Sus scrofa: one gene and its partners. The protein of the gene in region 2 interacts with the protein of the main gene of each other region in a pairwise test. Links are inferred from orthologs where the notes say so. Each region holds a gene or a part of one and is shown on either strand. Other genes may lie near its edges. The genes, in order: nuclear envelope pore membrane protein POM 121C-like, ATXN1, LASP1, EFEMP2, ZNF488, TRIM38 and CAMK1.

What was found.
Region 1: the proteins of ATXN1 (region 2) and nuclear envelope pore membrane protein POM 121C-like interact in binary tests that used the Homo sapiens proteins (3 or more experiments, as listed by UniProt). The link is inferred for Sus scrofa from reciprocal best matches to the Homo sapiens genes ATXN1 and POM121.
Region 3: the proteins of ATXN1 (region 2) and LASP1 interact in binary tests that used the Homo sapiens proteins (3 or more experiments, as listed by UniProt). The link is inferred for Sus scrofa from reciprocal best matches to the Homo sapiens genes ATXN1 and LASP1.
Region 4: the proteins of ATXN1 (region 2) and EFEMP2 interact in binary tests that used the Homo sapiens proteins (3 or more experiments, as listed by UniProt). The link is inferred for Sus scrofa from reciprocal best matches to the Homo sapiens genes ATXN1 and EFEMP2.
Region 5: the proteins of ATXN1 (region 2) and ZNF488 interact in binary tests that used the Homo sapiens proteins (3 or more experiments, as listed by UniProt). The link is inferred for Sus scrofa from reciprocal best matches to the Homo sapiens genes ATXN1 and ZNF488.
Region 6: the proteins of ATXN1 (region 2) and TRIM38 interact in binary tests that used the Homo sapiens proteins (3 or more experiments, as listed by UniProt). The link is inferred for Sus scrofa from reciprocal best matches to the Homo sapiens genes ATXN1 and TRIM38.
Region 7: the proteins of ATXN1 (region 2) and CAMK1 interact in binary tests that used the Homo sapiens proteins (3 or more experiments, as listed by UniProt). The link is inferred for Sus scrofa from reciprocal best matches to the Homo sapiens genes ATXN1 and CAMK1.

What each region holds. Positions count from the first base shown.
Region 1 is NW_018085157.1:64,930-68,166, reverse strand, and holds the end of nuclear envelope pore membrane protein POM 121C-like, read right to left. Parts: coding exon 2,871-3,237; 3' UTR 501-2,870; downstream 1-500. UniProt on the Homo sapiens protein: Essential component of the nuclear pore complex (NPC). The repeat-containing domain may be involved in anchoring components of the pore complex to the pore membrane. When overexpressed in cells induces the formation of cytoplasmic annulate lamellae (AL).
Region 2 is NC_010449.5:12,728,051-12,732,131, reverse strand, and holds the start of ATXN1 (ataxin-1), read left to right. Parts: upstream 1-1,281; 5' UTR 1,282-4,081. UniProt on the Homo sapiens protein: Chromatin-binding factor that repress Notch signaling in the absence of Notch intracellular domain by acting as a CBF1 corepressor. Binds to the HEY promoter and might assist, along with NCOR2, RBPJ-mediated repression. Binds RNA in vitro.
Region 3 is NC_010454.4:23,225,710-23,229,209, forward strand, and holds part of LASP1 (LIM and SH3 domain protein 1), read right to left. Parts: intron 3,480-3,500; coding exon 3,332-3,479; intron 2,924-3,331; coding exon 2,820-2,923; intron 1-2,819. UniProt on the Homo sapiens protein: Plays an important role in the regulation of dynamic actin-based, cytoskeletal activities.
Region 4 is NC_010444.4:6,453,828-6,457,954, forward strand, and holds the start of EFEMP2 (EGF-containing fibulin-like extracellular matrix protein 2), read left to right. Parts: upstream 1-1,327; 5' UTR 1,328-1,426; intron 1,427-1,783; 5' UTR 1,784-1,843; intron 1,844-2,151; 5' UTR 2,152-2,158; coding exon 2,159-2,269; intron 2,270-2,495; coding exon 2,496-2,544; intron 2,545-3,154; coding exon 3,155-3,361; intron 3,362-4,127. UniProt on the Homo sapiens protein: Plays a crucial role in elastic fiber formation in tissue, and in the formation of ultrastructural connections between elastic laminae and smooth muscle cells in the aorta, therefore participates in terminal differentiation and maturation of smooth muscle cell (SMC) and in the mechanical properties and wall integrity maintenance of the aorta.
Region 5 is NC_010456.5:88,472,914-88,476,921, forward strand, and holds the start of ZNF488 (zinc finger protein 488), read left to right. Parts: upstream 1-1,208; 5' UTR 1,209-1,359; intron 1,360-4,008. UniProt on the Homo sapiens protein: Transcriptional repressor. Plays a role in oligodendrocyte differentiation, together with OLIG2. Mediates Notch signaling-activated formation of oligodendrocyte precursors.
Region 6 is NC_010449.5:20,681,289-20,685,335, forward strand, and holds the start of TRIM38 (E3 ubiquitin-protein ligase TRIM38), read left to right. Parts: upstream 1-1,247; 5' UTR 1,248-1,467; intron 1,468-3,133; 5' UTR 3,134-3,278; coding exon 3,279-3,689; intron 3,690-4,047. UniProt on the Homo sapiens protein: E3 ubiquitin-protein and E3 SUMO-protein ligase that acts as a regulator of innate immunity. Acts as a negative regulator of type I interferon IFN-beta production by catalyzing 'Lys-48'-linked polyubiquitination of AZI2/NAP1, leading to its degradation.
Region 7 is NC_010455.5:66,052,491-66,056,580, reverse strand, and holds the start of CAMK1 (calcium/calmodulin-dependent protein kinase type 1), read left to right. Parts: upstream 1-1,290; 5' UTR 1,291-1,457; intron 1,458-1,495; exon of another isoform or gene 1,496-1,602; intron 1,603-3,448; 5' UTR 3,449-3,480; coding exon of another isoform or gene 3,481-3,487; 5' UTR 3,488-3,489; coding exon of another isoform or gene 3,490-3,495; 5' UTR 3,496-3,497; coding exon of another isoform or gene 3,498-3,561; intron 3,562-4,090. UniProt on the Homo sapiens protein: Calcium/calmodulin-dependent protein kinase that operates in the calcium-triggered CaMKK-CaMK1 signaling cascade and, upon calcium influx, regulates transcription activators activity, cell cycle, hormone production, cell differentiation, actin filament organization and neurite outgrowth.

The DNA of each region.
Region 1 (3,237 bases), on a different chromosome or scaffold from region 2:
GTCAGAAATAACGGCAAGGAAAGAAACTAATAAACAGAGTGATTAAATGAATCCATAATGAAATATAAAGTTAATAAAACCATAACTGGTGTTTGCGTTGAAGATTGTGATATGGAGGATTTCCCATCGTGGCTCAGTGGTTAAGGAATCCGACAAGGAAGCATGAGGTTGCGGGTGTGATCTCTGGCCTTGCTCAGTGAGTTAAGGATCCAGCATTGCTGTGAGTGTGGTGTAGGTCACAGACTCGGCTTGGATCTGGCAGTTCCTGTGGCTCTGGCAGAGGCTGGCGGCTACAGGTCCAACAAGCCACCTAGCCTGGGAGCACCATATGCCACAGGAGGAGACCTAGAAGCGGCAAAAAGGAAAAAAAAAAAAAAAAAAGGGTAAAATGGAATCCTAAAATAAATAAATACGAAACATTCATATCAACATTAAACCATTTTATTTATATTATTTCTAAAAGGACAGAGACATTTAAGCGGTATAAAATATTAACTAGATATGTTTGTTACATTTTTAAATAGCAGTCTTCAAACGAAAAACGGCAGGTTCCATACATACATTTACTGCTGCTGTCTCACAAAATTACCCAAAAACTTAAAGGAAACATTAAAAGGGAATGATTCCGTAAGAACAAAGTTAATGGATAAAAGGGTAACAATGACAGTCACATTTTGCAATCAAAAGTATACTAAAAGAAAAAACTGTAAACTCATGGAGCAATTCTGAAAATGCCTAGCAGGGGGGACAGTGCCAACAGGTAGTCCAAAGCTGCATGCTCTTGTAACGCAGAAGTATTCAAGAACTGGAAGCACTGTATACATTTGAAAATGAGGCTCACACTGTAGCTGAAAGTCAGACTGGTTGTACCTTTTGAGGAGAAACCTTTTTTCCCGTATTTCCTTGCAATCCTCAGAAGAGCAGAATAATATTTTGGTCTCCTGGGGGTTCCTGGACCAAGGGTCCTGCCTGGGGAACTGAGGCAAGCTAGCTCAGAGGACTAACCTGAGAGGGTCTGCCTTATGTAAGGTGTAGGCAGAAGCCTGATTTCTAGGCCTGTGCCCCACCCCCCTCTCGTCCTGGCAGATGTTCCAGGTTCAGGTCCCTCCTCAGCTCCACACACAACAGCCAGGAGTCGAGTTCCAGGTTCAGGTCCCTCCTCAGCTCCACACACAACAGCCAGGAGTCGAGCTCTCCAGGAGTCGAGCTGTCCAGCAGACAGTCACCCTCAGTCAAAATGGGCAGGGGGACTCCTTACACCTCCGTCACATTTATAAAATAAGAATGACATTTTGTGCTTCCAGCAGAAGCTCCAGGCCCTCGGAAAGGCTGCCTGGGACAGCATTTGAGCCTCTTCTTCACACAGGCATTACTGAACTATACAGCTAATTTCTAGTCTATAGTCTATAGTCTTTAACCACCTCAATGAACCAAGCTTGAAGGAATTTAAAAGGCAATTTAGCTTAAACACAAAAATAACTATTTTATCTGGTTGGAAATGTTTAAGGATGTTTTTCTTTTCACTTCGACACACGCACTCATGCTTCTCCCAAAGAGGATAGGCGTGGCAGCCAGGCTCTTGGGCCTGGGGTACGTGGTTTTGGAAAAAAGGAAGAAGAAAGGAAGGGGCGGGGGGAGTAAGATACGGTTTTAAAATGTTGCTTATTACTTAAACGCTTTCTAACTTATACGATGGGTGATCTAGCCTGCCATGAGGTTAGGTAGATGGGCAAAGAAAAAAAGTGGCCCCATCCACCTAGGCCGCCAGCCCTGAAGGTCAAAACACCAACTGAAAAGTCAAGACTCAGCACTTGGAGCCATCAAGTGGTGCTACTTTCCACATTCAAATAGCGAGGCCCCAGAAACTTAAACAGTTCCGTCCAGCATTACCAACGTGCCGCCACTCATACAATTCAATTATTCCATCAATCTCGACTCTAAGAGCAATGGACATGAGCATCCGATAAAGTAATACAGAATAAGGCTTAAACATGTGATCCCGGGGAGGTAGATAAGTCCAGTGAGGCCAACAGGGAAGGTGGACAAGGAGGCAGCTGAAAGCAGTGGTGGGCATCCTGCCTGTTCCAAGAGCTTCCCTCTCCCAGAGTGACAGGTCACCCCTCCATCTGCCAGGCTAACAGTCCTGAGCCACCAAGCTCGTGGGGGCCAAACTGGCAGAGAGGGTTGGCGATGAAACAGAGGCTCCGACTTGAGGAGCAGCACCCACTGGGGTATCCAAGGCAAAGCTAGACTCAGGATCATTTCAAAAGGAATTGATCCTGCAAGCAGTCGGTGACAGACAAAGCAGCAGGAATGGAGACACTGAGTCCTCTAATGGGACAAGATGGGGAGACGCACCTTGCATAGCCAAGCCAAGCAAGGTAAAGCTATAGGGATAAGCGCTTCCCCCAAGCCCATCAAATGCATATCAGAGATGCAAGGGGTGAGGTCTCTACCTGCCACTCTCCAGCAGAGCTGGCTCTCAGGGAAACGCTGGCAAGGGAGCTGCCTCACTAAGCGTATATACCACGCGAGCCTCAGGGAAGGAAGCAGGCTTCCTTGTTCAGCTGTTTCCTCAGTTCTCGCCAGCCTCACCAGTGCAACTGTTCAAGTAAGGTCACAGGCTTCGGCCCGGCCACCCTTCCTGCCTTCCCATCCCCCCAGAGGCCTCGGCCTTCTGCTTCCTGCAAGACAGGGAGCAGCCTCTGCACCTGCCACTCCTCCTCCCCGCCCCATGGCTGAAGCAGGACTGGTTCAGAGATCTCAGCTTCATGGAACGAGAAGGTGAGAGGCTCTTTCTGGCAGGTGCCAAGGTCCAGTTGTTGGCAGGAGGGGTAAAGGGGAGTGGGAGGGGGGGTAAGGGCCAGGGGCTACTTCTTGCTAGTGTGCTGCCTCCGGGCCTGTAGCTGTTGCCAAGCCCCTGGGGGCTTGGGTCCCGCACCAATGGAAAAGGAAGGTCCTTTTCTAACAAAGCCCTGGATGGGTGTTGAGGACGCCCCAAAGGAGAGGCTGCTGCCTGATGTGCCCACCCCAGGGCCAGGGGTGCTCTGACCAAAGGTGGGCGTGGAGGCGCCTCCAAACACAGGTTGGCTCTCTGCACTGCAGGCCACATTGAGGCCAAAGGATGTGTTCTGGCTGGGTGCACCCAGGCTCTTCTGACTCAAGCCTCCCACAAAAGGAGTCGTGCTGCCAGCGGTCCCACTCTGTCCTGCTCCGGAGCCAAAGGCTCCTGAGGCA
Region 2 (4,081 bases):
AGTGACTCGGAGAGAACAGCTGCCTTGGGAGTGTGGGCTTGAGTGTAAGGCTTCCTTCTACCTGCTGGGGAAAACCTCTTGAAACAAATGAGCTCCCGGCTGTGCTTTGAAAGATGAGGCTCGGAAAGACTGAGGTTTTCACAAGTACTTTTGTAAGACTCAAATGCACAGTTTAAAAAAAGCATCAGTTCGGGGGTTGTATTTCCTCCTCTGTGCCAAACAGTTCATTTAGTTTTTTTAGTCTTTTCCTCACCCCCACCCCAACTCCACAGGCTGAAATGCCACTTCTGAAGAGCAGAGCTGCTGGTGCATCCTGGCACCAATAGAGGGAGCTGAGAAGGCCTCCGGAAGACCTCTGAGCTGAGGCCCAGGGCTGGACACTGCCTTCTCTCCAGCCTCTAGCAACCTCTGTGCTTCTGGCTAGAAGCCAGGTGTTTCTGGGAGGATGGGGAAGTGGTTCTAGAACTCTCTTGACAATTTTCCTATTCTACTGAAACTTTTGTTTATGGCCGTTGTCATGGGTAAAGGACCAAACACATATGCATCCAGAAGTGATCACCTGTGTGTATCCATAGAGGAAAGAGATAAGGCCCTAGATGTAAATAAAGAGAAGAAGGAAGAATGCAACAGATGGAATAAAGAGGGTGTATGGGGCTGCTATGACAAGTGACCACAAACAGGGTGGCTTAAAACAAGAGAAATGTACTCTTACAGTTTGGGAGGAGAGAGGCCCCAAATCAAGGCATCGGGCCTTGCAGGGCCTTGCTCCCTCTGAAGCGCTAAGGAAGAATTCTTCCTTGCCTCTTCCAGCTCCTGGTGATTGCTGGCCAGTCTTGGCTTTCCTTGGCTTGTGGCTAAATCACTTCCATCTCGGCCTGTCTTCGCAGGGCCTTCTTCCCCTTCCCTGTGTCCCCCGGTCTTAGGAGAATAGCGGTCAGGTGGGATTTAGGGACCACCCTCATCTGGTAAGACATCTTAACTAATTACATCTTAATTCCAGATAAAGTCACTCACTTTCCTAGGGTGCAAGGACTTCAACATATCTTTCAGGGGAGCACAACTCCACCCACAACAGAGGGCAACAGGAACTTACCCTGAGAGCCCACCTGTGGGGGAAAACACATAAATGGAGCAATAAAAGGAAAACAGTTACATGTGAAATTCTAAGTGGAGGTCAAATGGATTTGGGAGTAACAGGAAATATTAGATAAGAGAAGCTTTCACTTGGGATACGCTCTCCATCTGTGCTTATGGCCTTGATTTTTTTTTTTTTTCCCTCTCAGAGTTAAAAAAAATACTGTATAAATAAAAAGAATAAGAAAATAGCACTTCTCTGACTCACACATTGGGCAGAGCCGCAAATTCTTGTGATAATCAGGAAAGACTCCACGGAAGGGTTGGTGCCTGAGCTGGATCTCGGAGGATGAGGATAAAATCGCCATGTAAAGGAGGACTTCCCAGATAGAGAGAAAGTATATGCCAAAGGCCCAGTGTCACTTCAGTGATCCACCCTTTACTGCCTGAAATAGGGTGAACAACCTCTCAAGGCAAGGCGCAGACCGTCTGCTTGATCTGTATTACTCAGAAACAGGATTAAATACAGGAAGGGGCAAACATGTTGCTGGTTTTAATAAATGCACACAGAAGCACACAGTAACCTAAAGAGACAGGAGAGCAGCATCTCTAAGGAAGACTTCATTCTTGGGCACATTTGCCAAAGCACAAATATGGAAACCCCACCCTCAGCCAGAGCTGGAGAAATCAAAAGGCTGATGTGGTATAAATTCCTCTGCCCTGATTGCATAAGGAGATCTGCCAACATTTTTTTCTCTGATATATTCCTTGCTGCACAAAGAGCTGAACTGGGTTTTTAAAACCTGATCGTGAACCGAGATAGGCAATTCTGAATCATCACCAGGATCTAGGAAAATTAACCCTCACCGATCTTCCCAGATAAGCACCCAAGCTTGCTGCCTCTGAGATCTGCTGCGGGGTTCTGGCTAGGTTCCTGTCACAGAGAGACTCCCCTTTTTTGGCATAAGAATGTACAAGATGCCAGTAAAGTTCACACTGGGTCATCGAAGGCTCTTTAAATGCACGGTGATTCATTGCTGGGGGTGGGGGAGCGACGAGAGGGAGGGGGAAGGAAGTGCTGAGCAGAGAGGCGGAGCGAAGTAATTATGAAATTGACTGCAGAAAAAGCTCGCGCTGGGAGTGACGGGGGTCACGTGTTCCTACTATTGGTATTTCGGCTACAACTTTCAAACCCGAGGCAGGGGGGAGGGGTCGGGAAACCTCACCTTGCCTCTTGATTGGCTTTCGGAGGAGATGCTTCAGATGCCTGGCATATTTATTAGAATTACAACGGAGCATTAATTTCTCTTTTTATCTGACAAAGAAGAAACGCTCTCCCATGACAGTCCGGTTAGCAGAACAAAAATCTGGCTGTACTGGTATGAGTGAACAATTTGTCTTCTTCTTCTTGATTTACTCCGCATTCTAGCTGACAGGGTCTTCCATTCTGCGCATTCATTTTGTACTTAAAAAGGGATTGTTTGTAATTTACAGTTTAAGGCTGAGGGCCATTATTCTGCGCTGTCAGAACGCATCTGCCGCAGGAGCATCGTTTCAGCCTGTGCCAGGGCACAAAGCAAGCCCTGATCGCCAGTCAGCTTGAGAGCTCCCTGGAGACTCCAGCCCTTAAACTTTGGAGAGGCCTGGCCCACAGGGGTTCTGCAAATATCAAACTGCCTGACAACCCCCGCTGAAATCCTGACACACAGTTTCCTCTTTGTGTCCAAAAGCAAACTTGGCCAGTGCCTCTTCTCTAACTCTTCCTCTTTGGGGTAAACTTGGTAAATTCCTCATAAAATAATTGTCTTAAACTCGGACCCTCCTGTGGGTCAGTTTTCCTAGCTGATGGGTGACTCAAGAAAAACAAACCGACAGAGCTTACAGCTAGATATTTTAATATCCTGTAGTTAGAGTCACAAAGACCTTCCCTCTTTCCCAAACAGTTTGATGTGTTTTGTTTTGTTTCTTTCAGTCCGTTGTAGCCCCTGATCTCAGTCTGCAGACACCCTAAGCTTAACCCCTACAACCCATCAACTGCCATCATCTTAAAGTGTAAACAGTGGTGGCTTTGGGCTTTGATTTTAATTTGGAAAATGTATTTCTTTTGAGGAAACAAAATGCCAAGATGTTAATGAAATGCTTTTAATAGATTTCCAAATGCTCCCAGCCAATACCAGGCAAAGTTCAACTCACTCATTCTAAGCCTCAAACTGTTGTTCATTTTCTTTTCCTGTAAGAAGGGCTATGTCCTATAGATGATTAAAACCATAAATTCTGTTATTTCATAGGTCATTACATTACATTCAGTCTTGGTTGTAGTTACATTGACGAAAATTTATCTAGGTCTTGCTTGAAAAATAAATAATAATGGTTAAAAATCATCTCATTTCCTTTTGACGTGTCCTATTAGACTAAGTATATGAGAAAGTGTTATATATAAAAAAAAAGACAGATTTCCTTTTGGTGGCCTTGATTTGTTTTCTAGTTAAGCAGCAACTGTATACTTTTCATTATTCATGCCCAAAGCCATCTGTCATTAAAAGGTAACACCCCCAACCATTCAGCCACAAGCTGCAAATCCAGCTATAACTCCAGAATACATAGCTTTCCATCAGCTTCCCAGGGTGGCACAGTGTCTGGGATCCTCTCTCCCCTTCTCCCCCCCCCAAAAAAAAACCCACACCAGATCTAACAAATTTTTAGTCTAACAGACAAATCTAATAAATTTCTATTTTGTGGGCCCATGCCAGATCTACCCAGGAGATTATTCCTTCACCACCAGCTTACTCTCAGAGATCATTTTAACAAAGGTTAAGGTCCATGTTATACACTGCAAGGGGGAAATCTCAGGAAGGTTAAAAAAAAAATAACCCAGTTATCTACTCCACTACTGCAGAGTCATGCCAGGATCTTAAGGTCTCCAATTAGTTCTTAGAACTAATTCCTGCACCTCCCCAGCCTCATTATTTATACCAGAGTGGTCCATTAGAAAAATAATGGACACATG
Region 3 (3,500 bases), on a different chromosome or scaffold from region 2:
GCCTAAGTCTCTGGGACCCCAGAGCAGAGGCCGGAGGAGCAGGGGAACGGGAGCTGGGAGCTTTGCCAAGAATTTTCCCACCTGGGTATCTCACTGTCTGAGAGCAGCCACCTTTCAAACAATGCATTTGGCATCTGCTAAGGGCCAGGCCACCAACAGGGCTCTGCCCCACCTCTGGGAACAGGAGTGCAGGTGAGGTCCCATGCACACTGCCCCAGGTAGTTTAAAAACATACCCAGGGAGTTCCCTGGTGGCTCGGTGGGTTAAGGACCTGGCATTGACACTGTGGCAGTCAGGTCGCTGCTGTGGCGTGGATTCGACCCCTGGCCCGGGAATTTCCACATGCCTGCGGGTACAGATAAAAAAAGCAAAAACCAAAAAAAGAAAAAAATGATATTCCTGGTCTGCAATGATCTGTATTACTATAAACACTAGACTTTCTTTTTTTAAAGCTGTTGATGAATCTGCTTCCCAAGTTCAAGACAAAGAACAACTCCTGAGAGAAAAACCATCAGGTCCCACCTTCCAACTTCAGCAAAAATCTTGTGTTTAAGCCCCAGCTCTAGGAAATGTCCAAGAAAAACACATGAAACCCATCTGTGATCTTGGAGGCAGGCAAGATTCGAACGCCCTCTGACCCTCGCTGCCCTTGACATGGACTTGTCTCTGGGGGTCAGCTCAGCCTGTACCGTCCAGCCTCTGGTTTGCCTCTTCCAACTGTCCATCCATATTTTATTTTATTTTACTTTTTTGTCTTTTTAGGGCTGCACCTGCGGCACATGGAGGTTCCCAGGCGAGGGGTCTAATCGGAGCTGTTGCTGCCGGCCTACACCACAGCCATAGCAACACCAGATCCGAGCCGTGTCTACAGCTCATGGCAACGCCAGATCCTTAACCCACTGAGTAAGGCCAGAGATCGAACCCGCAACCTCACGGTTCCTAGTCGGATTCGTTTCTGCTGCTCCGCAACGGGAGCTCCCTGTCCATCCATTTTTGATCTCAGGGGGAACTTTCCAAAATGCAAACCTGATAATGCCACTCCCAGCTTTAAATCCTTCAGAGGCCCCTTATCTTCTTTAGCATGAAAATTCAGACTTTTGATCAAGCAGCAGAAACCAGCTCCATCAGCCCCGAAGGCTATGGGCTAAGAGGTCACAACCCTCAGGAAATGACTGCAGTGACCGCAGCCATTTCCCTTATCACCAGCTCTGCCTCTAATCTCTCGGGCCAACTGGCCACCACCTAGAGCTGCATCAGCCGAGTTTATCTCCCTGTTTCTGCCCTCGTCTTCTACTGCTGCTTCTCAACACGGCTGCTAGAGCCATCTTTTAAAAACACAAGTCAAACCCCTCGCCCTGCACAGCTCCCCAGTTCACAAAAGCCTTCCTGTGGCCTCCAAGTCCCTGTAGGATGGGACCTCACCTCCCCACCGGCTTCCCCTCCCTAGTCACCCTGGCCCTCCTGCTGATCCTGGAACTTTCCTAGAACACTGCTGCCTCAGGGCCTTTGCACTTGCTGGCCTTCTCCACCACTCAATCCTTTCCTGAGAACTGTCATTCTCTCCCCTCACCCGGCTGTCTTTTTCTTCACGGCTTATCTCTGACCTTTCGTTACTTCTGCTTATCTATTGCTTTCATGTTTGTCTCCCAGACTGGATGTAAGCTCCAAGAGGCCGAGAAGGAGGACTTTCTTCAGAGCCAAATCCCTCATGTTCAGGGTGGACTTAGTGAGTATCTGAAGGACTGGCTGGTCCATCCGGAACCTCATCCTTCAGATGCTCCCTTGGGCCCGCCTGACACCCCAGATACTGATAAGGGCTGGAGTAGGATCATTACACAGGTAGTTGTAGGAGTCCCAATAAGGGACCGAACATAGATAGAGAAACCTAAGGAACGTTGGGAGATCACTGTAAGTTAATAATTGCTCAAAAAAGCCATGAGAACAAGGCAGGATTGCCTGACTAGTGGCGGGGAGGGATAGGCCTGAGGTCACTGGGTGGAGGATGGAGCGAGACCTGCATTCAGGCTCAGACTAAGGGCAGGAATTTAAAGACAATCCTTGTGCAAATGTGAATAAGCGCCAAGACTGTTCTAGTTTAAGCTTATAGGGTCAAACACTCGCTTACCAGATACCAAGGAGGAGCTACTACTTGAAAGATGAAGAGGCAGTCTTTTCCCACCCCAGTCCCTTGGATTGTAAAACTGCAGCGCACCTAATCCTCGGGGCAGAGCCTCGTTGCCTGCCCACTGGCATCTCTCACAGGGTCCTACCTTAACAAATCTATTTCTTGCCTGTCACTTTGCCTCTCGCTGAATTCCTTCTGCGCTGAGGCACAAAGAACCTGACCCTCAGTGAGGCCAAACGCCAGGTGAGTGATTCTAATTTAAAAACTGTTGGCTGGAGTTCCCATCGTGGCTCAGCTGAAACGAATCTGACCAGTATCCATGAGGAAGCAGGTTCGATCCCTGGCCTTGCTCAGTGGGTTAAGGATCTGCCATGGCCGGGAGCTGTGGTGTAGGTCAGACACAGCTCGGACCCAGCATTGCTGTGGCTGTGGCGTAGCCTGGGACCCCTAGCCTGGGAGCTGCCATACGATGTGAGTGTGGCCCGGCCCAGGCCAGGGCTCTGCCCACTACTCCGCGCTTCCTCTCTGCTCAAGAGGCTGAGACCCTTATCACCTGCAGATGTCAGAGGAGCTGGGGTCAAAGGTCAGGGGAAGCTGGCTGGGCCTCTGGGTTTTCCAAGTCTAGGAAGCCTTTCCCTAAACCTAGCCACCTCCCCCAGCTCCCCTCCCCCTGACCTCGACCAGGGCTACTCACCCCGCCCCCTCCTGGGGCGCTGCGCTGTATGGAAACTGGGGCTGCAGGCTCCTTGTAGCCACCATAGGACTGGGCCGCCTGCTGCTGCTGGGGCTGCTGGTAAACTGGAAGACAGCAGGAGACAGGCGCAGACACTAAGACAGTGTCCAAACCCAGCCCCTCCCAGAGCCCCCTCCCTTCCTGCATGAAGCCTATGACCGCCCCCCAACCCTGCCCAACCCCCACTTCTCAAGGCTTCTGCCTCTGAGCACATTTGCTGGTGTCCCTACCCTGCAGCAGTGGCTGTGTCGCCCCCCCATTGCACTGGGGTCCAGCACAGGCCCTGACCCTCAGCCCTCAGTAGGGATGGGACCTGGGTGTGTGTGTGTGTGTGTGTCTCACCTCCTGCCCACCCTGTGGCCAGCCTGGGTGTGTGTGTGTGTGTGTGTGTGTGTGTGTGTGTGTCTCACCTCCTGCCCACCCTGTGGCCAGCCTGGCCTCAGGTCCTCAGACCCCGCAGGCCTTGCGCTCACCTGGGGTGCTGGTCGGGATGTGATGAGGCTGCTGCTGCTCCTGGGGCCGCCGGTAGCTGGTGTCCTGGGCATCTCGGCGCTCGGGCTCCAGGCCCTCACCCCCGCTGGGGCCCATGCGGCTCTTCTCAAACTCCTCGTGGTATTTTATCTGCAGGGGCAGAAAGTGCTG
Region 4 (4,127 bases), on a different chromosome or scaffold from region 2:
CCGGCTGCATCCATGGCACATGGAGGTTCCCAGGCTAGGGGTCCAATCAGAGCTGTAGCTGCTGGTCTATGCCAGAACCACAGCAACACCAGATCTGAGCCACGTCTTTGACCTACACCACAGCTCACGTAATGCCAGATCCTTAACCCACTGAGCAAGGCCAGGGATCAAACCCAGGACCTCATGGATGCTAGTTGGGTTTGTTAACTGCTGAGCCATGAGGGGAACTCCTGTATTTTGGTTCTTATGACTAGTGTTGCTATGACCATCGTGCACAGGCTTTTGGTGTGGACATACGTTTTCAATGCCCCGGGCGTATACCTAGGCGGGACATCACTGGGGCATGTGTTCACATTTTGAGAACCTGCCAGACTGTTTTCCCCAGGAGTCCTCCCACTTTACATTCCCACCCACAGTGTATGACCGTTTCAAGGTTTCAATTTCTCCTTAACATCCCCGACACTTGTTATTGTCTGTCTTTTTGGTTTTAAGGAGTTATTATTTTTAGCCTCCTCCCCCGCCCTCACCCCAGGGATGCGGGGAGAGGGGGCTGCTTAGAGGATGTGGGGGAAGGGGAGGTAGGAGCTCTCCATTTCACCCTGAACCCGAAAGGGTCACCTCAGGACCCCCTGGAATGTCCTCTCCTTCACACACCCCCCTCGGGCGGGGCTGCTATAGGGGGCGATTATGAGGACCACTTGGGGTGGGAAAGGGCTTAACAGTTCCTGCTGGCCATCTGCCTCCAGGCAGGGGTTCCCTGGACACGCAGCCCTTTCCCGTCTGGCCCCGCCCTGAGACGTGGGCAGGGCGAGACCACGCCCCTTCCTGGGAGCCAGCTCCGCCCAATCTCCTCCCCTTAAGGCGCTCCGTCTCCCTGGGAAAAGAGGCAGACAGCCCGGGGCAGGGAGGTGGGGTGTGTGCGGGGGAGACATTGGTAGGAAGATGGCCAGGAAGGTGATGGCCCCGGACCCTGGAGCCCTGCACGCCCGAGTTCAGCCCTGCTCGACTTCTCAGGGGCTTCCATTCATTCTGAGCCAAAAGTGAACTGCCGCCCCCGCCCCAAACTGATGTAGCCTCAGGGACTGAGGGCCCGGGGGAGGCCGTCCTGGAGTGAAGGGACCGCCTGGCTGAAGACAGTCCCGGGGATGGAAGGGAGAAGGGACAGAACTGGACGGTTCTGGACCTGGGAGCGTCTCTCTTCTCAGGGCGAGGGTCTGGGGACCCTGGATGAAGTTGCGGTTGTGGTATTTCCAGAATAACTGTCCGGGTGCACAGAATAACACTCTGGTGGCGCAGAGTGAGGAGGATCTGCAAGTTCCAGGGTTAGGTGGAGTCTAAGGGCCCAGGATGACATTCTGGGAGGCGCAGAGTCTGGGTCCCTGGCATTAAGATGTGGGTGCACAGGAATTCCAGGGGTGCAGATTAGGTAAGGTCTAGGTGCGCAGGATGACATTTTTGGGTGCACAAACTGAGAGCCTGGGGGCTCCAGAGTGAGTTGGGGGCTTGACATCAGGGTCAATGCCCCAGGATCCTGTGCTAAGGGACCCTGGCCTGGCGCCGGGAGGCGGCTCCGGGCGGCGCCGCGGGGGACCGGGTGGGGCCTGTGGCCGGCCGGGGGCGGAGAAGCGGGGGTCGGGGTCCCTCCCCCTGGCGCGGGCTCAGGAATCCGCCGAGGGGCGGGCGGAGGCGCCGGGGTGGGCCGCGCCGCGGCAGGCGGGCGGGGGGCGCTTCCTGGGGCCGCGCGTCCAGGGAGCTGCGCTGTCCGCCTGTCCGTCTCCCGCAGGCACTACCGGAGCCAGCCGAGCCGCCGGAGCCGCGGGCCTCCGGGCCGTCACGGGCCCAAGTGAGTGGCCGTCCATGGGGGGAGGGCGCCAGCCAGAGTCTCGGCCGAGTCGGCGGCGTCAGCACCGAGCCAGAGGCCTGCGCTCCTCGGCCCGAGCCACTGGGGGACCGGGCGGGGGCGGGGCGACCCGGGGCGGGTGGGCCCTGAACCCCGGCCTGCGTGATCAGTCGACCCCCGGCCCTGGGAGGCTCCGAAGCCCCAGACACAGTCCCGGGCGGGTGGTGTCGGGGACCAGGTCTCTGAGTCCTGGTTCGGGCAATGGGGGATCCGTGGCCCAGACGCCCTGACCCCCACTCACTACCTCCCAGCCCCAGGATGCTCCCCTTCGCCTCCTGCCTCCCCGGGTCTCTACTGCTCTGGACGCTGCTGCTGTTGCTCTTGGGGGCAGCGTCTCCCCAGGATTCGGAGGAGCCCGACAGCTACACGGTGGGGACAGTGGAGCCCCTGGCCTGGGCTGGGCTGGGCAGGGACACCAAGACCAGGATCCTGGGGTGGCTGCTGCTGGGGCAGGTTCTCCCCTCCCCTGGTCCGTGGAGCAGCTGGAGCTGTTGTTTGGAGCAGGCGGGGAGGGTGGCCAAGCTTGGGCTCTGGTCTTGGCCTGGTCAGTTAGAGGAGAGGGGGTGACCACTGGCCACCTCTGGTCCCCCTGTAGGAATGCACAGATGGCTATGAGTGGGACCCCGACAGCCAGCACTGCCGGGGTGAGTATGCTTGGAGCACCAGGAAGTGGATTGCAACTCCAGCACGGAGAGCTGCTGTGGGAGTCAGTGGCCTGTCCCCTGCCCAGCTCTGCCTGGCCGTGGCCAGCTCTGGTTCTCAGGGGGCCAGCTTAGCTGGGGGTGGAGAAGCCATCCAGGCCCCTCCCTCTCAGAAAAACATGGGACAGCCTCCTCCCACCCCCCAGGAGTCCAGAGACCAACAGGGCGCTGCCCAGAGGCATGGTTCCTGGCCACCTCCTCTAATCACTTTCCCACCCAGCTTCGTGCCATCGTGACCTGGGAGGGCAGCGTCTGCGGGGGTGGGCGAGAAGGCCTGCACCTCACTCTTGGGCTGAGTTGGGACCAGGGCTCTGGGGCGGCATAGAGACCCTCTTGGGGATAAGAGAATGGAAGTGAGTGGAGCAAGAGCCAGCCTGCCACCAGCCCTGGTGGCACTGGGAAGTGGTCCTGGGCAGGCAGCCTTAGCTGAGGAGAGTGGGAAGGCCCTTCCTGGGTCACGCAGCTTAGAGGAGGCTGCACTGGGCTCCTGCCGCCCACCCCCTCCGTGGCCAGCCCAGGAGACTGGCTGTGCCCAGCAGGCCCCTCTCCGCAGATGTCAATGAATGCCTGACCATCCCCGAGGCCTGCAAGGGGGAAATGAAATGTATCAACCACTACGGGGGCTACTTGTGCCTGCCCCGCTCGGCGGCTGTCATCAATGACCTGCATGGCGAGGGACCACCACCACCAGTGTCCCCTGCTGAACACGCCACCCCCTGCCTACCAGGCTATGAACCGGATGAGCAAGAGAACTGCGTGGGTGAGTGAGGGTCGGTTGCCCTGGTGCTGAGGCTTCCAATCCTTCTATCAAGTGTCTATCACTGCATTTTAAAAACTCACAGCTCATGTTCCTCCCTGGCTCAAAAGCTTCCTCGGGGGAGTTCCCGTCGTGGCGCAGTGGTTAACGAATCCGACTAGGAACCATGAGGTTGCGGGTTCGGTCCCTGCCCTTGCTCAGTGGGTTAAAGATCCGGCGTTGCCGTGAGCTGTGGTGTAGGTTGCAGACGCAGCTCGGATCCCGCGTTGCTGTGGCTCTGGCGTCGTAGGCCGGTGGCTACAGCCCCAATTCAACCCCTAGCCTGGGAACCTCCATATGCCGCGGAAGTGGCCCAAGAAATAGCAACAACAACAAAAAAGACAAAATAAATAAATAAATAAATAAAATAAATAAATAAAAAAATAAAAAGCTTCCTCGGGGCCGCTGGCATAATAATATCCAGCCCCTTGTCCAGATCCTCACTGTGGGGGGCCTGCCCAGCTCCCGTCCCATGCCCAGCCAGCTTCCGGGATCCTCCTTTTGATCACTGCAGGTGCACCGCGGGAGCGCTCGCTGTCAGCCTCTTCCCCTTTCCTGGTTTGCACCCCACTCCTGGGTGCTATAGGCCTCAGAAGAAGGTTCTGGAATCAATCAGTGTTCCTGGGAGCATGGACAGGGCCTTATTTCCTCTGCTTCCCTGACATGGGGTCTCCCAGGGTAGGGGTGCCGATATCCCAGGGACTCCAGACCAGCAGATTCTTATTTGTGC
Region 5 (4,008 bases), on a different chromosome or scaffold from region 2:
ATTAGGGATTTGATTTCTCACATTCATATTCATTAATGGGCTCTCCTCATAGAAGAAAAGTTTGCTTTGGGGACCATTATCCAGAGCTTTAATGTCTATTCTGAATCTCATCTTTTGCACCTCAGACTCATCATAATTTTGTTCCTTTACAATCTTATCTGTGTGAAGATGCTCCCTAACCTTGAGGAAAAGCACAGAGCTTTATCACCTTGTATCCCCACACTCTCTCCCCTCAAGGGCATCCAGAACATTTACTGAGTTAAGGAAGAAAGGAAGGAACAGGGACTCAGTTCCTCTAGGAGTCTCTCTTCCCCTCTCTAATCTGCTAAACTGAATGGGAGCCATTCTCCTGGCTGCCACTGCAATAACTCCTGAGACTCCACGTCCATCTCCCCTCATCCTCCTTACAGGGGAAAGTCCTACGTGGGCCAAGCCCTGGCCTGAATGTAGCCACTCAGAAGGCATTCCCTCCCGTCGCCACCCTTCAGGCCCTGGCCTGTCCCAGCCTCCATGGGCAGGTAAATTCCCTGACACCTTCGCATTCTGTGAAGTCACAGAACTCACCATTACTTGGCACAATGCTGCCATTTCAGAACTTAGGAGGGCCAGGAAAGGCAAAGAGGCCGAGGCTCTGCTCCAGCGAAGTCTGGGAGACTCTCAGGGCGCCACAAAGATGGAGCTCCCGCGGCGCTCAGCCTGGACGGGGAGGAAAGTCCTGGGAGCTGGGCAACGCACGGAGGATCCGCAGCTGCAAGGCACGGACCATCTGAGGAATCTGGCTGTCGCCCGGGTCCCACTGACCCAAAAAGGAAGAAGTCGCGGCGCAGGGGGCGAGTGAACAGCGGCAAGTGCAGCCTCCGCTGTGGCCCAGACGCCACCTCCAAAGGCAGCGGCGGCTGAGCGCACTGTGGAGCGGCCCGAGTCAGGGCACCCTCCTCGGTCCCTCAGCTGGGAGGCGCCGAGCGAGGCCGGAGCCAGTGGGACGCAGGGCCTGGGTCTTCCGAGCTGAGTTCGTGGGAGGGCCAGGCTCCGCCGAGAGGTCGCGAAACCGGCGCTCGCCCTCGCGTTCGGGGCCTCTGGCCGGCGTTGTCCAGGAAGCGCGTCTCCTCAGCGCCCCTCTCGGCGGTTTCAGCCCACTCGCAGGCCCCTCCCCGAAGGCCCCTGGGCCCCCAGGGGCGGGGCGGCGCCCGAGGCTCCGCCCCAGAGGCGGGAGCGGCTCGGGAAGGCGGGGTCCGGCCAGCCCCCAGGGCTCGCGCGCCAAGTTCCGACCCTTGCGAGGCGCCTCTGACCTGCAGGCGGCCGTGGCTGCCAGCGCGTCCCCAGCGCGTCCCCAGTGCCCAGCGCCGCAGGAGAGCCGAGGTGAGACCCACTGTCCTGCCCTCCGGGACAGGGCCGCGAGTGGGCGCGGGGGTCGGGAGTCATCTCATTTCTACGGTCCTTTCCCCAGGGCAAGTTCTCAGTCCTGCCTTTGACTGCCCGGTTGTTGCCCTCCCGCTGTTACCAGCTTTCTCCATCTCTCCTTTTTTTTTTTTTTCCCCTCCTGTGCTACTCCTGACCCTTCCCTCTGCCTCTGTCTTTTGTCTTTTATCTCTTCCTGTATTTATCTCTCATCTGTCTCACTTTTTCCTGTCCATTTTTTTATTACCGATTTCCCTATCCTTCCCTTTCTCTTTCCTCTTCTGTCTCCGTCTCTCTCCTCCCACCTTCTTCCTCCTTTCCTTCCCCTCAGCAAGAATTAAACCTTGAATATATATATATATATTTATTTATTTATCATAGGTTGACTTTTTGAGCTGCAATTATTTTAATTCCTCCATCCACCCCTTCACTCACGGTGTGCTGCTCCATTATTTTCAGCCAGGGCTTGTGCTGGGCACTAGGGTAATAACGGTGCATCTGCAACAGATTCTATCCAAAGATCTGGGTGTGTTACCTGTTCAATGCCTATTGTGGGAAAAATACATAAAGGGTCAAGTTGAAAAATCTCTGAGTTTTCAGAGTGCACTGAAAATTTTAAAGACAAGGCATTTATGGAATCCTTTTCTTAGCATTTTGCCTTTAGTAATAGACACAGCCAGCACCAGGAAGCTAAATCTTGCAGGAACATTTAAGGGACATGGGGCCACACCATCCTTCTGTGGAGGCAGTGCAAAAGCCAAGTCGGTGGGGAGAGTGAGGGTGGCATTTAAAACGCGGTTTGGTCAGCTTTAACGGAAAAAAAAAAACAAAAACACCTCAGTTTGGGGAAGACAATAGGGTGACCAAGGCTTTACATATGCAAGGGTGAGAGTTGAAATAAGCAATCAACTGTAAATTTCTAAAGTATATCTATACTTGTCAGTGCTGTTGGTATGCAAAATTTGATTTCACAATCATTGTTGAATGATTCAAACTTCTTATTACAATTATTGTGGCATTTAAAATTAATGTTTTCACACAGTGAAAATGCTTCATCTTAATATCAAGGATTGCCTTAGACACAAACTTAAGAAATATAGAAAAACAAATTTGATTAGTTTTTGAGGAATACAGTAGAAGGTATTGTATATTAAAGTAATTTTTTTCATTTCTTAAAAATTTAATCTTGCCAGAGAGACATGATTTCCTTATTTAATATTTGTATGGCATATATAGCTATGTGTTCAAACACACATATACACATACTGTATACACACTTAAGTTGTAAAAAGAAAACTTGTTTGTTTTTAAAGCTGCTAATCACTGCCCAACACTTGAAGCTTTTTGTTCTTCTTATAATTAATCCATCTTTTGAATTTGTTGTGATTTTTAGTGATAATTCAGCTGATTTAACTTTTCAGTTGATGTGCAAAGGAAAATTTGCCAATAGATAAATCACACAGAATTAGCCAAAATTAAGAATGATGGAAGAAGATTTCAGTGTTGGTTGAAAGAATTTTTTTTCCACTTTATATCAAAGTATGTTGGACAAATTCATAGGTGTAGCATGCACTTTTTTTGGGGGGAGACTGCTCTCTGGATTGAAGAGTTAAATTGTCTTTTACATCATTTAACCAGTAACTTTCCATGGGTTAGCTTTGGTGGGGGGAGAAGGAAGGGATGCTTTTCCAATGATTTAGAACTCTCATGTCTTTGCTCAGCAGAGGTCTTTTTCAAAAATCTAGGAGGTGACAGCTTTTCCTTGAAATAAATAATCTCATTAGTTTTTTTGTGTGTGGTTTTTTGTTGTTTTTTTTTTTTTTGTTTTGATACAGGGCTAAGTCTTGAGCTACAGTGCTTTAGTGCTTTGTAATTTCTTTTCTTTCGTCAATAGGATGTATCTTCCCTTTTTTCTAGTCCACGATGCTACTTCAGAGTCTGGCTGGGCAGTCTTTCATATAAACCATAGACTTTTCCCCTGAAGGCTGATCTGGAATTGGTCCATGTGGCCAAGCTGTGTTAGGACTGAAGCTGACCTCTCTGTGGGCCTGGGAACTGGCTACATCCTGGGGATCCTGCGTTTGGTTTTGTGGACATAGCAGGAATTGCTGCTAGAGGGGTGTAGGCACGGCTGGACATGGAGCCTTTGAGGGCCAGCTGGGAAGTCCTCCTCTTCCCCAGTGTCATGGCACCACCAGCTAGCCTCCAGGAAGGACTGGACAACTCTGACATTTCTGATTTTCTTGGGTTCCAGGCGAGGCAGATGCCTTGAAAATATATGGAAAACGCAGTACCTCACAATCCACACATGGAAGAGTTGGTTGGATGATTATCCCCAGAAATCTTCCCCAAAAGAAGCTCCCAATTCTAGGGAAACCCAAGTATTGAGGGGCATGAGGTTTTTTTCTGTTCTGGTTTGTTTTAGCTGAAAGGAAGGAAGATACAGAAAGATGCTGGCTGTTAGTATAGATGGTATCACTGAGTAAGATCTGGTTTGTGAACTTCAGCTTGGAACAGCTGGATGCTGGCCAGCTAACTTGGGGTGGTGTGGATCTGCAGACGTCTCAGGGACATGAGGTTGTCCAGTTGTTTGCAAAGAGTTCTTGCTTC
Region 6 (4,047 bases), about 8.0 Mb from region 2:
CTGGGTCCAGAGTCGCATCCACAACAATGAAAGTCGTGCGAATCTGCACAGAGTCTGCATTGGGTCAGGATTCGGGGTCTCATTCTTTCTCTTCCGTCTGCATGCTGGCTGCCTTGGGAGTAGATGTGTCCTGTACCATGTGTGGGGCCAGCTACCACAGGACATGCCAGGGCACTGTGAGTCACCTGGTGGCAAAACGGCCAAAGGCTCTGTGAACAGCCAGGAGGATGCAGTGCTGAAGAGAGACTCCTGTTTGGGTGGGAAGAGAGGAAGCTGTTTCACAATTTTGCCTCCAGCCTGAGCTGCTGAACCAGCAGGACTGTGGCTGCATCAAGTTCCCCCCAGTCTCCAGCTGCAGGTCCAATGCCCTTAGCACAGACCATGAACTTCCAGGGTCAGCAACTGACCCACCCAGCCAGGGGCCCAGGACCCAGAGTTCATCCCAGGCAGCTCTCAGAATCCAAACTTAACTTCTCCTGCCTGTGTCCTTAGCCATCCTTACTGGCTCCCCTGGGCCACTGCATGTATTTATTTCCTAAGCAAACACTGTGCACTTATCACAAATACCTCTTACACCTAAGGTTATGCATGTGGCAAGGTCTTATTTTGAGTTAGTTTTTTCACATTAAATAATAACTCTAAATTGGGTGGGCCCAGTATTTTTGCTTCTATTTTGAACTGGAGAGGCTGGAGCTGAGGCACTAAGTACTCAACCCTAGACCCCCAGAGAGCACTGAGCAATGCTCCCAGCTCACATGGCTCTCAGCTGAGGCCACTAACTGCTGGGCCATTAGTGGTTCCGTTTGCTGTCCTTGGTGCCCAACTCTGACTGTTGATAAGGATGAGAATCTTTCACAGGGACACTGAGGAGGCAGATGAGACAGGGTATCAGGGCAAAGAATGGGAGACTGCCTGGAGAAATTTTCTGCCATCAATGAGCCCCATTATGGTACCACCCCTTTTTTTTCACCACATCCTTCAGAGCAGTTATAAAACAACAAGCAGCCTAAAAATAGCAAAACGTAACATCAGCCAGGGAGGTTATGAATCCCAAGGGGTTTGGTGGCAAAAGCAGAAAGATCTCAAGTCAGAGTCTGTGAACTCTGCAGACTTCCTGGGTTTAGATCCTCTGTGCTAGAGTCACAAAAGAACTTCCTGAATTACCAATCCATCCCTTTTACTGCTGTAAAAAAAAAAAAAAAAAAAAAAAAAATTTCTTTAGCATCTCCCCTCCCTTTCAGCATAAGCAGAGTGCAAAAGAGATGGGCACATTTTCACTGGTTTCCTCCTCAGCTGGGCAGAGCTCCGCCTCCCACAGTAGTTTCACTTCTGAGTTTCTGTAGCCTGCGTGAACTTCCTGGCTGCTACGGAGGGATCTAGCAGAGAGTGTGTGACTATCTGTGGTGACGGGAGTGGAAAAGGTCCAGGCCCAGGTTTTCTTGGCGGAGGGCTAGGAGACATGTGCATGTGAGTGTGTGGTGGTGGGCGGCCGCGGGGTGGGTAGGGGTTGTTTTCTGAGAACAGAGCCTGCTGGAACTCTGAAAATGGCCAGGCCTTGGCTTCAGAGCTCTCACACCCTGTCTGCTTTCTCCTTTCCCACCCTCCACATCCAGTCTCAGAAGATCCAGGGTGTGAGGTGAGTGAAGGCCCAAGACAGGCACCCTTGGGCCTCAGAGGAGGGGAGGTAGGTCCTTCTCCCCAGGAGCACAGTATCCCTGGCAGAGAGGAGCCTAGTGGACCTTCTGGGCGAGATAACCTGCCAAAGAACAGATGTCTCTGGAAGAAATTCTCTGTGGCTCCATGAGCCCGGTTCTACTTATTAGAGGGAAATGGCCTCTCCAGTAACTTTGGCTGAATCCCTGCTCTTAATTCTGGTACTGTCACTTCAAAAGAAAGGTCACTCTCTAAACTTCCTCCAGCCTCCACTGCCCTCCCTGACCAACTGCCAGGAGTAGGCAAGCAGGGAGCAGGGCTGGGGTCCCGAAGCAGCTGCAGCAGTGGGTAAAGGGCTGACTTCTTCACTCCTGTTCCCTCCTCCAAAGTCTCTGGGTTGTCGGGTCCTCATTGAAGGACACCAGGGGTCCAGCACCCAGGGTCCCACAGAGGCCCTACCTTCCCCATCTGCTTCCTATGTCCCCACATCCTGGCTTCTGCAAACTCCCGTGCTCCAGTCACCCTGCAGTTCTCCTGAGAGTCAGGTCCTGCTCTGGAGAAGCAACAGTTAACCTCCCTAGCTCTCCAGGAACTCTGCTACCCATAACCAACCCCTTCTCTTCCCCCTTTTTTTTCTTTTTAGGGACGCATCCCCGGCATATGGAAGCTCCCAGGCTAGGGATTGAATTGGAGCTGCAGCTGCCTGCCTAGGCCACAGCCACAGCAATGCAGAATCTGAGCTGCGTCTGCAAACTATACCACAGCTCATGGCAACGCCAAATCCTTAACCCACTGAGTGAGGCCAGGGATCGGACCCATACCCTCATGGATACTAGTTGTGTTCTTAACCTGCTGAGCCACAAACGGAACTCCCCCAGCTTTTTCTAATTCTCTTTCTGTCAGGTCAGGGAGGGCTAATAGAGTTCCCTGGTTCTTCTGGATGTCTTTTTTACTTTCACTATCATCCTGATTGTGTCTCCACTGGGGATTTTATTAAGCTGGTGTCTATGGTTCTTTGTGGGTAAGAGTGGGAGTTTAATTAGAGTCAAATTGGATTGTTTCAATGGAATCTTCATAGACCACCCAGTTACCTAAGTGTCATTACCAGTTACAAAGAAATAATTCTGGTACTAGTTATTCTCAACCTTTATTAGAGTGGGAAAGAGTCTGACAGTCCCTCACTGAGTTCTCTCTCTTGCTGCAACTTTGCTGAGGAGGCCTACCTTGTCTCTCTCTCTCAGCACTTAGTCCAAGAAAACTTTTCACAATGATGGAATGTTCCATATCTGGGCTATCTTAGCTATCCATCACCTGCAGCTATTAAATAACTGAAATGTGGCTAGTGGGTGTGAGAAAGGAATTTTTAATTCTATTTAATTGTAATTAATTTAAATAGCCACAGGTAATAATGGCTACCATACTCCACAACAAAGCTACATTGTACACATTTTCTAAATTCCAATCTATTCCTTTTCTCTAGAAAGAAGACCTCATGACCTGTGGAGGCCAGTGGTAGCCAGTGCATCACAGAGGCTCAGGTGAGGTAATTTCTGAACATGGTGGGAAAATTCTGGCTGCTTCTTCTCTGCCTCTAAATCCAATATTGGAGCTTTTCAGGAAAAGCCATGGCCTCAACCACAACCACCAGGAAGATGAGGGAGGAAGCCACTTGCTCCATCTGCCTGCACCTCATGTCTAAGCCGGTGAGCATCAGCTGTGGACACAGCTACTGCCACTCGTGCATTGTGAACTTCTTTGAGAATCTCTGCCGAATGCAGCCATGGCTGGAGACATTCTCCTGTCCCCAGTGTCGGGTGCCATTTAAAATGTCAAGCCTCCGACCCAACGTGCAGCTGGGAGGCCTCATTGAAGCCATCAAGGAGATGGACCAGGAAATGTCATGTGAGGAACATGGAGAGAAGCTCCATCTGTTCTGTGAGAATGAAGGCAAGCTCATCTGCTGGCGCTGTGATCGGGGACCACAGCACAGAGGGCACGCCACAACTCTGGTGGAAGACGCGTGCCAAGGCTACAAGGTAAGTGGTGGGCCAGAGGGGTTTGGCAAGTACCTGGCCTCATGTTGCCCCTCACCCCACTCTGAGACCTGAGATTATTTAGCCTGAAACCCAAGATCAGGATCCTAGAATAAAGTTTTCATCATGTCATTCTTATGAGGGGTCCTCACTGAATCTGGTCCTAATGGTCTATCCTGACCGGAATGGTCAGACTCTTGTCCCTAGCCAGTCTCACTTTGATGACCTTCTCCCTGCCCTGATTGCCATGTGCTCCAACACCCACATGCATGTCCTATTGCCTCACACTCTGTATGTAATCTGGGAAACCACAATGTACAAGACCATGGGATAGAGTCTGAAAACACAGGGGACAAAGACA
Region 7 (4,090 bases), on a different chromosome or scaffold from region 2:
AAGTCTAGCTGTCATATTTTGAACCCCGGTGGTACTCCAGGCACGTCACATCCATTATCCCACAGAATTCTCAGGAAAATTCTGAGTCAGTCATCAATATTCCATATTCCAAATGAAGAAATTGAGGCTAAGAGAGGTAAAGTGTGACTCAGAAAAGTTAGTCTCTAAAGCCTTTCTAGGAACCTCTTCCTCTCTCATTGTAGAATGGGCACAATAACCTGACCACCTTCGGACACAGTCCTGAGGTTAAGACAGGGAAAAGCCAATTGAAAATGAGATTGAGCTAAGCATTGTCCTCTCCCTATCTGCAGCTGTAAAATGCAGGAATTCAAGATTGAGGAGCGGCCATGAGGTGGAGTGGGGGGTCCCCAGAAACGTGCCTCCTCCGGCTGGCTCCAGTCCAGCCCCACCCCTTCTTTCTGGGAGTTGCTCCCTCAGTCCCTTCTCCCCAAGGAAGGCCTTGCTCAAGAGGACACAGACCAGGTCTTTTGGCCCCTTGCCCGCCGCCCCAGAGCGGTTTTGGGCTTCCTCTCCCAACCTGGCCCTGAGCCAAAGGCCGCTGGCGCCAGCCCAGTCACGTGGTCCTCTTTGGCCCGCTTCCACGAGGATCCAGATTTAACTCTCCCCCCTCCCCCTTCCCTCCCCGCCCCAGTCCCTCTGGGCACCACACCCGATCTGGCCCGCAGGTGTAGGGAATTAGAGCATCAGCTCTGCAGGTGTGGAGAATTAGAGCCTTAGCTCTGCCTCAGAGAGGGACCTCAGTTTTCCCGCAAGTCAAATGGGATCCCCACCCTAAGACTGTCTCAATTCTCTTCATCACCTACCCTTGCCTTGTCCTTTCCGAACGGCCCCAGGCCTCCACTCCTCTCAGTCTCTAGAGCTCTTCCCTGGGCCTAATTCCCAGGGGCGGACAGGGGCAGGGAGAGTAGGACAGCGCCCAACCCTAAGGGAGCTCCCAGAACTGGTCTGAAAGAAACTCCTAGAGATAGGGCGAAAATGGCCAGCTTCCGGCATCAGACAGACTTGTGTTCGAATTCGACTCTGCTTCTGACCAACTGACTTTGAGCGCTTCATCTCTCTGTGCCTCAGTTGTTCCTACTGTGAAACGGGGACCCAGCCTGATGACGAAGGATGAAAAGAACCCAGCGGAGGATCTGACCTGCACGAAGGGCGGCCGCTGTTAACTCCTGACCTCTCGCCCCTTTCCCAGCCCGGGAGCGGAGCCTCACCTCCCAGTCCCCAGTCCCTCCGTCGCAGGCTCCTCCTCCACTGACATCAGAGCCGCAGGCGGGCGGAGGGAGCCAGCCGAGTCCGAACCAAGCCCCAGCGAGAGAGCCGGCGGCGGGGCCAGGCGCGCAGCAGCGGCGGGCGGCGGACGGCGGCCAGCGGCCAGCGGCCAGAGCCCAGCACCAGGCACCTCCGGCCTCCCAGCCAGCCCCGCGGCGGGGCAGCCGCAGGTACAAGCCCAAAGCCGCGCCGCCCGACCCTGGGCGCAGCCGCTGGATACCCTCCCCCAAGGATGGAAAGGGGAGCCCGGGCGTGCCGGACTCTAGATGGGCAGGGCCGGGCCTCACTCCCCAACCTCTGCCCCAGGCCCAGCAGGTGCCGGTGGGAAACTGAGTGGGTAAAAGAGGAAGGTGGGGAAGGGATGTGTGTGCGTGCGTGTCTGCCTTCAGCTGGGCCTGAATGTGGAAGGACTGGGCATTTGGAGGTATGGATGTGTTGGGATATGAGAGTGACTTAGCTTTGGCAAGGGGCTTCAGATATGAAGTTGCAGCATGTTGGTGTATAAGGGTATCCGTGCGGATGTCTGGGAGTCAGTGCTTTTGTTGCAGATATATGTCCAGGTGTTGTGGTGTGCTGGTATCCAGCTCAAAAGGGCAGTAAGTCAGAGTTGGGGACGTATACAGTTGTGTGCTGACCATGTTTGGAGTTAGGAGTATAAGGATTTGCAGTTGAAGAGCTTCTAGGATAAAGGTATGAATGAATCTGGGATGTCTGGTATACAGGTGAGTGTGTGTGTCTGCCTGTCTGGGTGTCATCAAGGTGTGTATGGATGTGTGTTTTGGGGTATGAGAGGGATGTTTGGGTGTGAGGATGTCTGGGGGAGTGTGTGTTTGGATGTGTGTGCTGACGTCCGGGTGTACATGTGTGATCAAGTGTCAGAGTAACTGGGGATGGCGTGTGCTGGAGGCAGGTGTTTGGGTTCAGGGGTGTGGGTGGCTTTTGATGTGAAACTGTGAGGTTCATATCTGCCAGGCTTCCAGGTGGGTTTAAAATTCTGCCTCTACAGCTTACCACCAAGTCTCCTTTCCTAGAAGTTTCTGCCCCTTGGGATTGGTGGCCAGGCCCCCTTGGGAACATGTCCCATCCAAAGAGTGGAATCCCACACTAGGAGCTCTAATCAGGGCACCTTCCCCTCATTTTTTCCCATGGAGGAAAAAGAGAAGGAAAGGGCCCTCCCTGAGGACACACAGTACACTGAGCTCTGTTTTGGCTTCACTCTCTGTGGACCTGGGATGGGATTGAGAGGCTGTGTTCTCTGGATGGGTCCTAGTCTGGCTGCAGTGCCTTCCTAGGTCTTTGCCTCCAGCAGTCTTTGCTGGGGCCCAGCTAGGGGTCATTGAGCAACTCTGGATCCAAACCCTATCCATCACCAACCTTCGTCTCCCCATTCTTCATCTGATAAATGGGGAGAGCTCACCCTCTACTACTGGTTAGAGTCTCCGTGGTGGTGAGGTCTCAGTGGTGAAAAGTATAGGCTGGATCAGGATGAGATGAAGCCAGGAAGGGACAGGTTGGGTGGGACAATTTCTCAGGTTGCTGGGATCCAGATGGGGAGTCAGAAGGGAGAGGGGGTAATAAGAGGCCTGGGGAGCTCCAGCTGTGGCTGCTGTTGCTGTGGTAACAGTGTGGAAGGAGCTATTTAAAAAACGTGGCAGAGATATTGCTGGAAGCCCAGGCTGCCGGAAACCTGATTTCCAAGAGGCCTGGCAGGGAGAAGGGGGAGGGAGAGGAGACACCCCAGCAATTCTGAGGGTGGGGCTGGGACATCACTGGTTCTGGGACAAGGGGATCCTCCAGGGCAGTGCGTTTCTACAAGCTGCTCTGGGGTCTTCTCTGCACTTCTCCCAGAGATCAGTGTGCCCCTAAGCGTTTGGATTTAGAGAGGGAGAAACTGGGAGGTGAGCTGAATTAATGAATGAATGAGTGACTTTGTTGAATAAAGAATTTTGCTGCCACCCTGAGGGATTTTCCTCTAAGCATAGGGCGTGCTGCATAGGTGTTGAAAGAACAAATGGCTGTGAATGAATGTTTGCTGAATGACTTTGTCTAATGAATGATCAAGGAATGATTCAGTGTGGGCTGAGTGACTGAACAGGAGCCCCCAAGCAAGTTCCTACAAAGATGGGGGCCCCACTGAGTCTTCTTCCATTCTCCTTCCTAGGAGCCCTGGCTGTGGTTGGGGGGCAGTGGACCATGCCGGGGCAGTGGAAGCCCCACCTGGAAGCAGGCGGAGGATATTAGAGACATTTACGACTTCCGTGATGTTCTAGGAACGTGAGTCTCAGGGTGGGAGTGAAGGGGCGGCTGTCCCTGAGATGGGAGGTGGGGTTGGGAAGGCCCTTACCCCTGGGCCTGGAGGGGCTGAGGCCAGGGCGGTGCTTCCTCTGGCCAGTTGATCACTGCTTCCTGTTTCTTGCAGCCCAGGCCCTATGGTAGCATTGCCTGGCCCAGACTGGCCTTGGCTTTTCACTTCTGGCTGACGGTGGGTGGGAACTGAGGCGGCTCTTGCCAGAGTTCTAGGTTCCTGTGATGAGAATGAAGGAGCCACTTTTTCAAACTTGCTGCCAAGAACTGGGGGTTCTAACCTAGGTTTTAGAACTGAGGCTGGGCATGGCTGCCCACAATGGTGGGAATCCAGAAATAACTCAAACCTGATCTTTGCCCCTCACATTGATCCCAAACATGTGAGGGAGACAGACCCACGTAAGATGACAACAGGTGTGTGCTCTGCTCCAGCTAAAGTCATGAATGAGGACTTTGTTGAGCCCAGAGAGAGCAGAGACTTCTGTGTGGGGATAAACTT